Linked DNA regions of Oryzias latipes. The main gene of each other region encodes a partner of the protein of the gene in region 2 in a complex. Links are inferred from orthologs where the notes say so. Each region holds a gene or a part of one and is shown on either strand. Other genes may lie near its edges. The genes, in order: sec13 and wdr59.

Region 1 (4,455 bases), on a different chromosome or scaffold from region 2:
ACATTCATTGAGGCCCGATGCTCTCTGTCCTCATAATAAAACGCCTTATCTGCTCCACTTATGGATTCCTACAAAATAATATTAAAACACAGGACTAAGCTATCTCCTCACAAAGATCTTACTGTGTCGTTTTCTAGTTATTATACATAAACATGTTTGTTTGACGGGACATATTGTAGATGCTGTCATTTTTTAAGTTGAATTGTGACTTTGGTGCATAGATTTAGGCCATGATTAGTCTAACGTTTTATTCTAAAAATACTGTAGAAGTTGTCAACTTTTGGAGATGCCGCCTCTTGTTTTCATATTCTTTATTGAAGCTTCAGTTGTGATTTGATTTTAATAATTGAAATAGTTTGGATTCAAAAGCGTGACATAAACAAATCTTTACAAAGAAATCAACTAAAACAGTTTTAAAGGTTTCGTTCTGTACACAAACACCTGAGTTTAGGATTCGCTTCTTGTTGTACTTCTAAAGTTTGTGTTCAAGTTTCATGATGTGTGTGTAATGAAACTTTTACTTTCACTTCTTTGTCATTTGAATTTTGCACTTTTTAAATGTTAGTAAACTAAATACATCTGCATTTTCAGCAAAATGTAAAAAAAGAACCTTTTAATAACTGTCTTTTCTCCTCTGAGTCTCTGATCAGATTTTAAATTAAAATGTTCATTACTTTAACATTCACTGCTTTATATTCATTACTCAGAGTGTCTTAAACAAACGTTTTGACAAAAGAAATATCTACAATCGAATGACGAGTCAGAGTAAAAAGGGTCTCACTGTCAGAGCTGATGAGCAGCTGATGAGCAGCTGTCTCTTACTTTACCTGAAGTCTTTGTCAGTGGAGGTCATTTTCTCCAACAGGTTGGAGATGTGGTAGGACACGTTAGACATGATGGTTCTTTAACAGCTGACACGGACGCCGATAAATGCTAAATCTGTAGGAAAGCAATGGAACTGGGGAACCAGATTCACCCTGACAACATGGCGAGGCTGGTGGGCAGAAAGCGGAGCTAACCTTAAACCTGACACCCCCAGGGTCAGCTAAAAATACAGCACACTTATTCTGGTTTATGTCTCCCTCGTGTGGACAAACCGAGCATTACAGCCGAGTTCGTTTTGAAATCCTAAACCATGGACTGTAAAGAGAAGTTTTACAGTCTCTGTTTGCCATGAATTTGTTTGAATAACATACAAGGTTGTTTTGTAAATAGATTGTTTTCTGATTTATAACTTTATTTTTTAATTGGCTTTCATGTGTGTGAGTATTGTCCCAAATAAATTTAGATTGTTTAATGTGAAAATATACCTTTTGTTATTTTACAGGAAGATGTTTTGACTCTTCTTTCGTTGCATCAACTTTTTTTTTTTTTTTTTTTTTTTTTTTTTCCTCTTTCGGCTTTTCCCATCAGGGGTCGCCACAGCGAACAAGTCGCATGGTAAACTTGGCAATGTTTTACGCCGGATGCCCTTCCTGACGCAACCTTCTCAAAGCAACCGGGCTTGGGACCGGCACAGATAGACAGAGAGACAGATAGACAGAGAAGGGAACAGGGAGCAGCCCTGTCGTTGCATCAACAGGCTTTGTAAATGTAATTTTGCGTTGTTGTCGTGTAGGCGGAACTTACGTTTCGATTGCGTCACTTCCGCCGGAAGCAAGTCTCGGGCTCTGGAAGCGGTCTGCGGTACTTGTTGCCACGTCGGAGTAGTTTGTAAACCCGGTCGATTCATTGCTAAGCGACCAGAAAACTGTTGAAGGGTTTTTGGGTTAAACAGCAGCGATGGTTGGTTAAAATACTTTATAAAAATGGTTTTAGCATTTCTTAAAAACATCTTTAAAGTTTACGTTTGCCTGCTAAGACTCACAGTTAGCTAGCTCCCGTTAGCCGAAATACTAGCTGACGCGTTAGCACTGCAGATAAAAACAATGATGGTTATTTTTTTTATGAACAGGTCAAATAAAATTCTGCTGTTTCTAATCTATAGGTCTCCGTTATTAACACCGTGGACACCTCCCACGAGGACATGATTGTAAGTGTTTGACCTCCCACTATGCTATCCGTGGATGGATAATTACATTGAATTTGTTTAATATTGTTTCACACGTTTATCCGTTCTTACAATTAAACTTTTACTGTGGTTTGATTACTCTATTTTGGGGCTGTATCGTTATCGTTTGGAACTAATCATTAATATTGATTTATAATTACATTTATCCTTAGGTTTGTTTGTGGGGGAAACGTGTTTTTTCTGTCTGTCTTGTTGTTTTCTTGAAGTTCATCTTGTTCTTTGTGCTTTAATCTCTTTAGAAGAAATGACCCACTTTTATCAGAAAGGCTGGATTTTATTGTGATACTTGTTCCTGAATGATACCCTTAATGATTTTAGAGGGAAACGTTTGCCTAACACATGATCATAGAGACGGGCTTCATTTTAAACGAACATACAAGAAAGACAAACATGTTATCAACCTATCAGAGGTCACAGTGTTCTAAAAGTACGAACACATAACTTTTTGTTGACGAGTCCAGGGACATGCTGTAAAGGTTCATGTGTGTTGTTGTGTGTCTCTGTGATGCACGGGTGAAGTGTCCTGGGTGAACCCTGATGGGATAGGCTCCAGCAACCCTGTAATCCTGAGCGGGATGGATGAATTCCCTTCAACATCAAAATGTTTCATTCTTGATAGCATTGAGGCAGTTGTCTGTTGCATAAAAGCATCTAAATCAACCTCCAGCCCCTGATTTCACTGATGTGAGGATCCTCAATTAAAAATGATTTGTTCTAGTATTAAAAGCGCTGTGCTGTATACACTTAAACACTAGACACGCCTGGCAGTTGCATCCCATCTGCATTCATGCATCTGTAAATCTTCAGGTGAGTTGGATGGGAAGTGATGGCGTGTCTAAATACTCACACGTGTTGAAAAGTTCTCTTCATGTCTTTATTCTGGTTTTAGGAGTTAAATTCTCAGAAATCTTCCCTTTATCCAAATGTAACGACCTGCCTTTCTGCAGTGTTTCTTTCTACCTACTAGTACTAAAGACCTTTGACCTTCACACGCCGATGATGTCACCCTTTCAGCTGGAAGACCACCGCTCTCTAGGTGGTTTTTAAACAGCCTCTTCCTGATCCAGAGGTGCTGTAGATTCAAACGGCTGACATGAAAGGTTTAGATCCAGGAGTTCTGGATTTGTGCCTTCATTTAGTGCCAGTATAATGATTGACATAACCAGCATACGTGTTTCCCTTTCAATCTCAAAATGTCCATTTGAAACATCAGACACATAGAAATGGTTTCACTGGCTGTGAACACATACATGTTTCTGTGTTTCAGCATGACGCTCAGATGGATTATTACGGGACGCGACTCGCCACATGCTCCTCTGACCGCACTGTCAAGATCTTTGATGTCAGGAACGGAGGACAGATTCTAGTGGCAGACCTCCGAGGGTGAGTCATCCTCAGAAAAGTCTTAGTTATCCTCTGTTAAATGCAGTAAAGAACAGCAGGTGGGTGTTCTCCAAGAAGAATAACTTCTAGTTTAATGTTCTTTATGCTGGTATAATACACGCTGACAAATATCGTGAAACACAAACGGCTTTCATCGTGAAAAGTTCATTTCTACTCTGAACTCGCGTGTGAGAGATTTTGTGTTCTTCGTTCAGCCATGAAGGGCCCGTCTGGCAGGTGGCGTGGGCCCACCCCATGTTTGGGAACATCCTGGCCTCCTGCTCCTACGACCGGAAGGTCATCGTCTGGAAGGAGGAGAACGGAGCTTGGGACAAGATGTACGAGTACACGGGACACGAGTCCTCAGGTCAGTAAGGGAATGTTTCCCCTCATCCAGTGTTAGAACTCCAGCTCATTCCATTACAGCTACTCTGTAGGTGTTTATGGTAAATGCCATTTCTTATCCTATTCTCAGTGTTTGTAATTCCACACCAGAGTTAGATTGTGTTTGTTATCATTTTTACTGGTTGTTGTTTGTGTTGCTGTGGAACTTCAGCCGATCCGAAAGCAGGAGAGACGTTCTCCGTGCTTTTGACAGCGGAGACGCCGCCGGCGGCTCGTGCTCTTTGACGAAGCGTAAATCCTCGTCTGTTTCTGCGATCAGCAGGAATCAGCTGAACTGATCGCTTAAGGCCGCTATGCAACACTTCCTGCTTTTGTCTGCGACAGAATCGGCTGACCTCCGCTGATTATGCTGAAGAGCTAGTGGGTAGAATGTAAAAGAAGACCTTTGAAGAGTCACTGTGACCACGGTAAACGGCCGCGTCTTTGTGTTCATGGCGCTGCTGCTGTCGTGTTTGCAGTCAACTCTGTCTGCTGGGGTCCCTATGAGTTCGGCCTCATCCTGGCCTGCGGCAGCTCCGATGGAGCCATTTCCCTCCTCACCCTAACTGGAGATCAGCAGTGGGACGTGAAAAAGATCAGCAACGCACACACTGTGA
Region 2 (3,107 bases):
GAGCAAAGAGAAGAAGCCGAAGAAGAGCAAACACAAAAAGGAAAAGAAGGTGAGATGGAAAGAAAAGCAGCAGGACAGGAACCGGTTTGAAACGGACCTTGGTTCTGCGCAGAAAAAGAAGCAGAAGAAGAAGAAAGGGAAGCAGAAGAAGAGCAGGAAGGAGTCCGAGAGCAGCTCCGACGACAGCGACCCAGACGTGTCCCCGGACCTGCTGCTGAAAAGGTCAGAGGTCATCTGGAGGAGCAGCCGTCTCTTCACAACCAAACTTTTGTTAGATTTTCCTAAAAACGACTCAGAACCTCAAACTGAAGACTCACCACGATCCGGGCACGTCTGACCCAGAACCACAGAGGTTCTGTCGGGTTCTCCCAACAAACAGATCTGTCTTCTCCTTCCAGACTGAAGAACATCCGGTCCCAGCAGAGCCGCTGATCCAGCAGAACCATGTCCTCCGTGAGGACCACAGCCAGAACATCCCAGCGTACAAAGCCTCCAATAAAAGCCTTCTGCATCACTTCCTGTTCTCTGCATCACTTCCTGTTCTCTGCATCACTTCCTGTTCTCTGCATCACTTCCTGTTCTCTGCATCTGAGCTAAAGCTGAGCTGTCAATCATCTGCTTCTGCCTGAGAAGAGAAAATCCAAACAGGCTTTTATTCGTCCAAATCAAAGTTTTCCAATATTTCCTTCATTTCACCCGATAACAATGAGATGAAGAACATCCATGTTCTCATTTTCAGAAACACTGGTTTGTCCCAAAGCTCCTGAGGGCAGCGTGTGACCCCACAGTTGCCATGGTTACAGTAAAAAAAAAAGAAAAAAGGCTTGTCGTTTGGTTTTTACCACAATATGGAAGCTGAAGTCTGGATCTGCTGTGGAGTGAAGACCTGACATAAAAATGTCTTTCATGAAGTCAAAGGAGAAAACGGGATCAAACGCCCCGAAGGTTCTGTGGTTCTGGACACATTTGTGCCGTTTGGAGACTCTGGATGTGGGTCAAGCTGTGCCCGAGACAGCTCTGCTACAGAGGAACCCCCTGAGGACTTCCTGGTCCATCTGAGCCCGCTGGGAACCCGAGCCCGTACCCGGAGACGACACACCAACACTGAGAAGATCCACAGGTGGTGAACGCCGGAAACCTTCAGCCGTCTCTCCTCCACCCGTGTTGGGTCTACTAGTCACGGTCCTGTGAGAGGATGGGTTCTCCTGGAACCGTCCAGGTCCTGCAAGGTCCCCGGCTGCGGCTGCTCTCAGAAGGTGCTCTGCAGCAGGCAGTGGCAGCCGCAGCCGGCCGGACACTCGTCCTGCCTGCGGAACCAGTCCATCATGTGGTTGGTGTGGCCTCCGTGACCGCAGCTCAGGCAGAAGTTGGAGGATCCGCGGACGGCCACGTGGCAGACGGCGCACTGGAAGGTGAGGTGCTTGCAGACGGCGCACTGAGTCCCGCGCGCCTGGCTGCGGCAGTGGCAGCAGTAAACGCCGAACTCTGAGGGGGCAGGAGGGGTTCTGGGTTACTTCCACATTCAGCGGGGCGGCTGGGAAGCGGCGGGACAGGAAACATACCGATGCCTTTGTGGGGTTCTGGCGGACAGGAGGCAAACTTCAGGACGTCGGCTCTCTTGTCCCGGAGGCCCCAGCGGTACAGGATCTCCCCGTAACATTTCTTGAAGTCGTCAAACTGTGGCATGTTGGCGGGGTCCAGCAGCCTGCGACACACGGAACGAGCAGGTCAGGGGTGTTTCAAGGCCGGTCCCCTCAGGGCGGAGCGCCACGTCACCTCTTGTTCATGTCGTGCTGGTCTCGCTCGCGTTCCCGGGGGTCCGTGTAGGCCTGGCCGCCGTAGCGATAGTCGTCCGGCGAGGGCTCCCCCCAGGGGCTGATGTGATCGGGATCTCGGACTGAAAAACCAGAAGAAACCGTCAATTTAAGAGCAAAGCACCACGTCCAACGGGACGGCCGGCGAGGGGAGCGGCGGCGTCACCTGCGGTCCAGGTGCTGGCGTTGATGGAGTCGGAGGTGCTGGAGCAGGAGCCGGATGTGACGGAGCTGGACGTGAAGCTGGACTGAAGCAGAAACAGGCATGTGACATCACTTCCTGTGACGATGAAATTCAGCTGCTGCTGTGGTCTCCTCAAACGTAACCGAGGTTAGGGATGGGTACCGCGCCCCGGTACTGAAGGAGCCCCGGTACTGAAGGAGCCCCGGTACTGAAGGAGCCCCGGTACTGAACGAGCCCCGGTACTGAAGGAGCCCCGGTACTGAAGGAGCCCCGGTACTGAACGAGCCCCGGTACTGAACGAGCCCCGGTACTGAACGAGCCCCGGTACTGAAGGAGCCCCCAGGCAACATTCTTCAATACCGCAGTAGCACTAAGATCTGACCTCAACGGTTCTGGTATCGGTTCTGGAGAAGTCGCATTTGTTTGTGTCCCAGGAGGTTATCTGCCATATTTAACTCACCAAGTCAGTCAATTTTCCATTAATGAATGATGATATTAATTTTGCTATTCTGGCTGAAGAGGAGAGGTCTGTCTGGTTATTTGTGTGCACGGGGGGCGGGGCTGTTGTTCAGACAGCACGCAGCGCGCACACAGGAACGCTACCAAAGATAGAACTGCAGATCCGCCTCCTAAAAGCAGAGCGTGGAAATGCTGCTCTCTTCTCCTCAGATAAACTCCCTGAACATTCTTTATTTTGTTAACTATTGGACATTTAGCCATTTTATTTAAGACGTCTTCAAAATATCCACAATGTATTTGTTAGTGTATATTTGTATTTTTATTTTTTGTGACTCAGGTGAGGAGTCATAAAAGAAATTATGAATGGAAGTGGATGTTTGTTATTTTTGTGTTTAACGATACCCATCCCTAGTCCAGGTGAGATCCTCTAGAAAAGTTCAATTCAATTCAATTTTATTTGTATGGCCCAAAATCACAACAACAGTCGTCTCGATGGGCTTCAAAGTAAAACATGAACTCTAAAGGATCACGAATACAAAGAGTTCAATAGGAAAATACAAAAATGAACTAACAAACTGACTAAGCTATACTGGCATCCCTGCCCTTAGACCCCCCTTCTTAGTAAGGAAAAACTCCTGAAAAACTGGATT

The links.
Region 1: the proteins of wdr59 (region 2) and sec13 are in contact, whole or in part, in a cryo-EM structure (PDB 7UHY), measured with the Homo sapiens proteins. The link is inferred for Oryzias latipes from reciprocal best matches to the Homo sapiens genes WDR59 and SEC13. Residues at the interface, in NP_085058.3 of Homo sapiens: Ala525, Tyr526, Gly527, Asp531, Ala532, Asn533, Ile534, Pro535, Phe536, Pro537, Arg538, Thr539, Ser540, Gly541, Ala542, Arg543, Phe544, Cys545, Gly546, Ala547, Tyr549, Val551, Phe553, Thr554, Arg555, Met557, Ala644, Gly645, Lys646, Val647; in NP_899195.1 of Homo sapiens: Val4, Ile5, Asn6, Thr7, Val8, Asp9, Thr10, His12, Asp14, Met15, Ile16, His17, Asp18, Ala19, Gln20, Met21, Asp22, Tyr23, Tyr24, Gly25, Leu28, Val42, Pro59, Trp61, Gln62, His67, Pro68, Tyr79, Ser105, Asn107.

What each region holds. Positions count from the first base shown.
Region 1 is NC_019863.2:32,815,967-32,820,421, reverse strand, and holds the start of sec13 (protein SEC13 homolog), read left to right. Parts: upstream 1-1,635; 5' UTR 1,636-1,782; coding exon 1,783-1,785; intron 1,786-1,987; coding exon 1,988-2,032; intron 2,033-3,338; coding exon 3,339-3,454; intron 3,455-3,669; coding exon 3,670-3,821; intron 3,822-4,317; coding exon 4,318-4,451; intron 4,452-4,455. Other genes in the region: cullin-associated NEDD8-dissociated protein 1-like, read right to left, coding at 828-895. UniProt on the Homo sapiens protein: Functions as a component of the nuclear pore complex (NPC) and the COPII coat. At the endoplasmic reticulum, SEC13 is involved in the biogenesis of COPII-coated vesicles.
Region 2 is NC_019861.2:37,911,815-37,914,921, forward strand, and holds the end of wdr59 (GATOR complex protein WDR59), read right to left. Parts: intron 2,063-3,107; coding exon 1,981-2,062; intron 1,898-1,980; coding exon 1,777-1,897; intron 1,706-1,776; coding exon 1,563-1,705; intron 1,486-1,562; coding exon 1,250-1,485; 3' UTR 627-1,249; downstream 1-626. Other genes in the region: gpatch1 (G patch domain-containing protein 1), read left to right, coding at 1-49, 113-222, 399-432. UniProt on the Homo sapiens protein: As a component of the GATOR2 complex, functions as an activator of the amino acid-sensing branch of the mTORC1 signaling pathway. The GATOR2 complex indirectly activates mTORC1 through the inhibition of the GATOR1 subcomplex.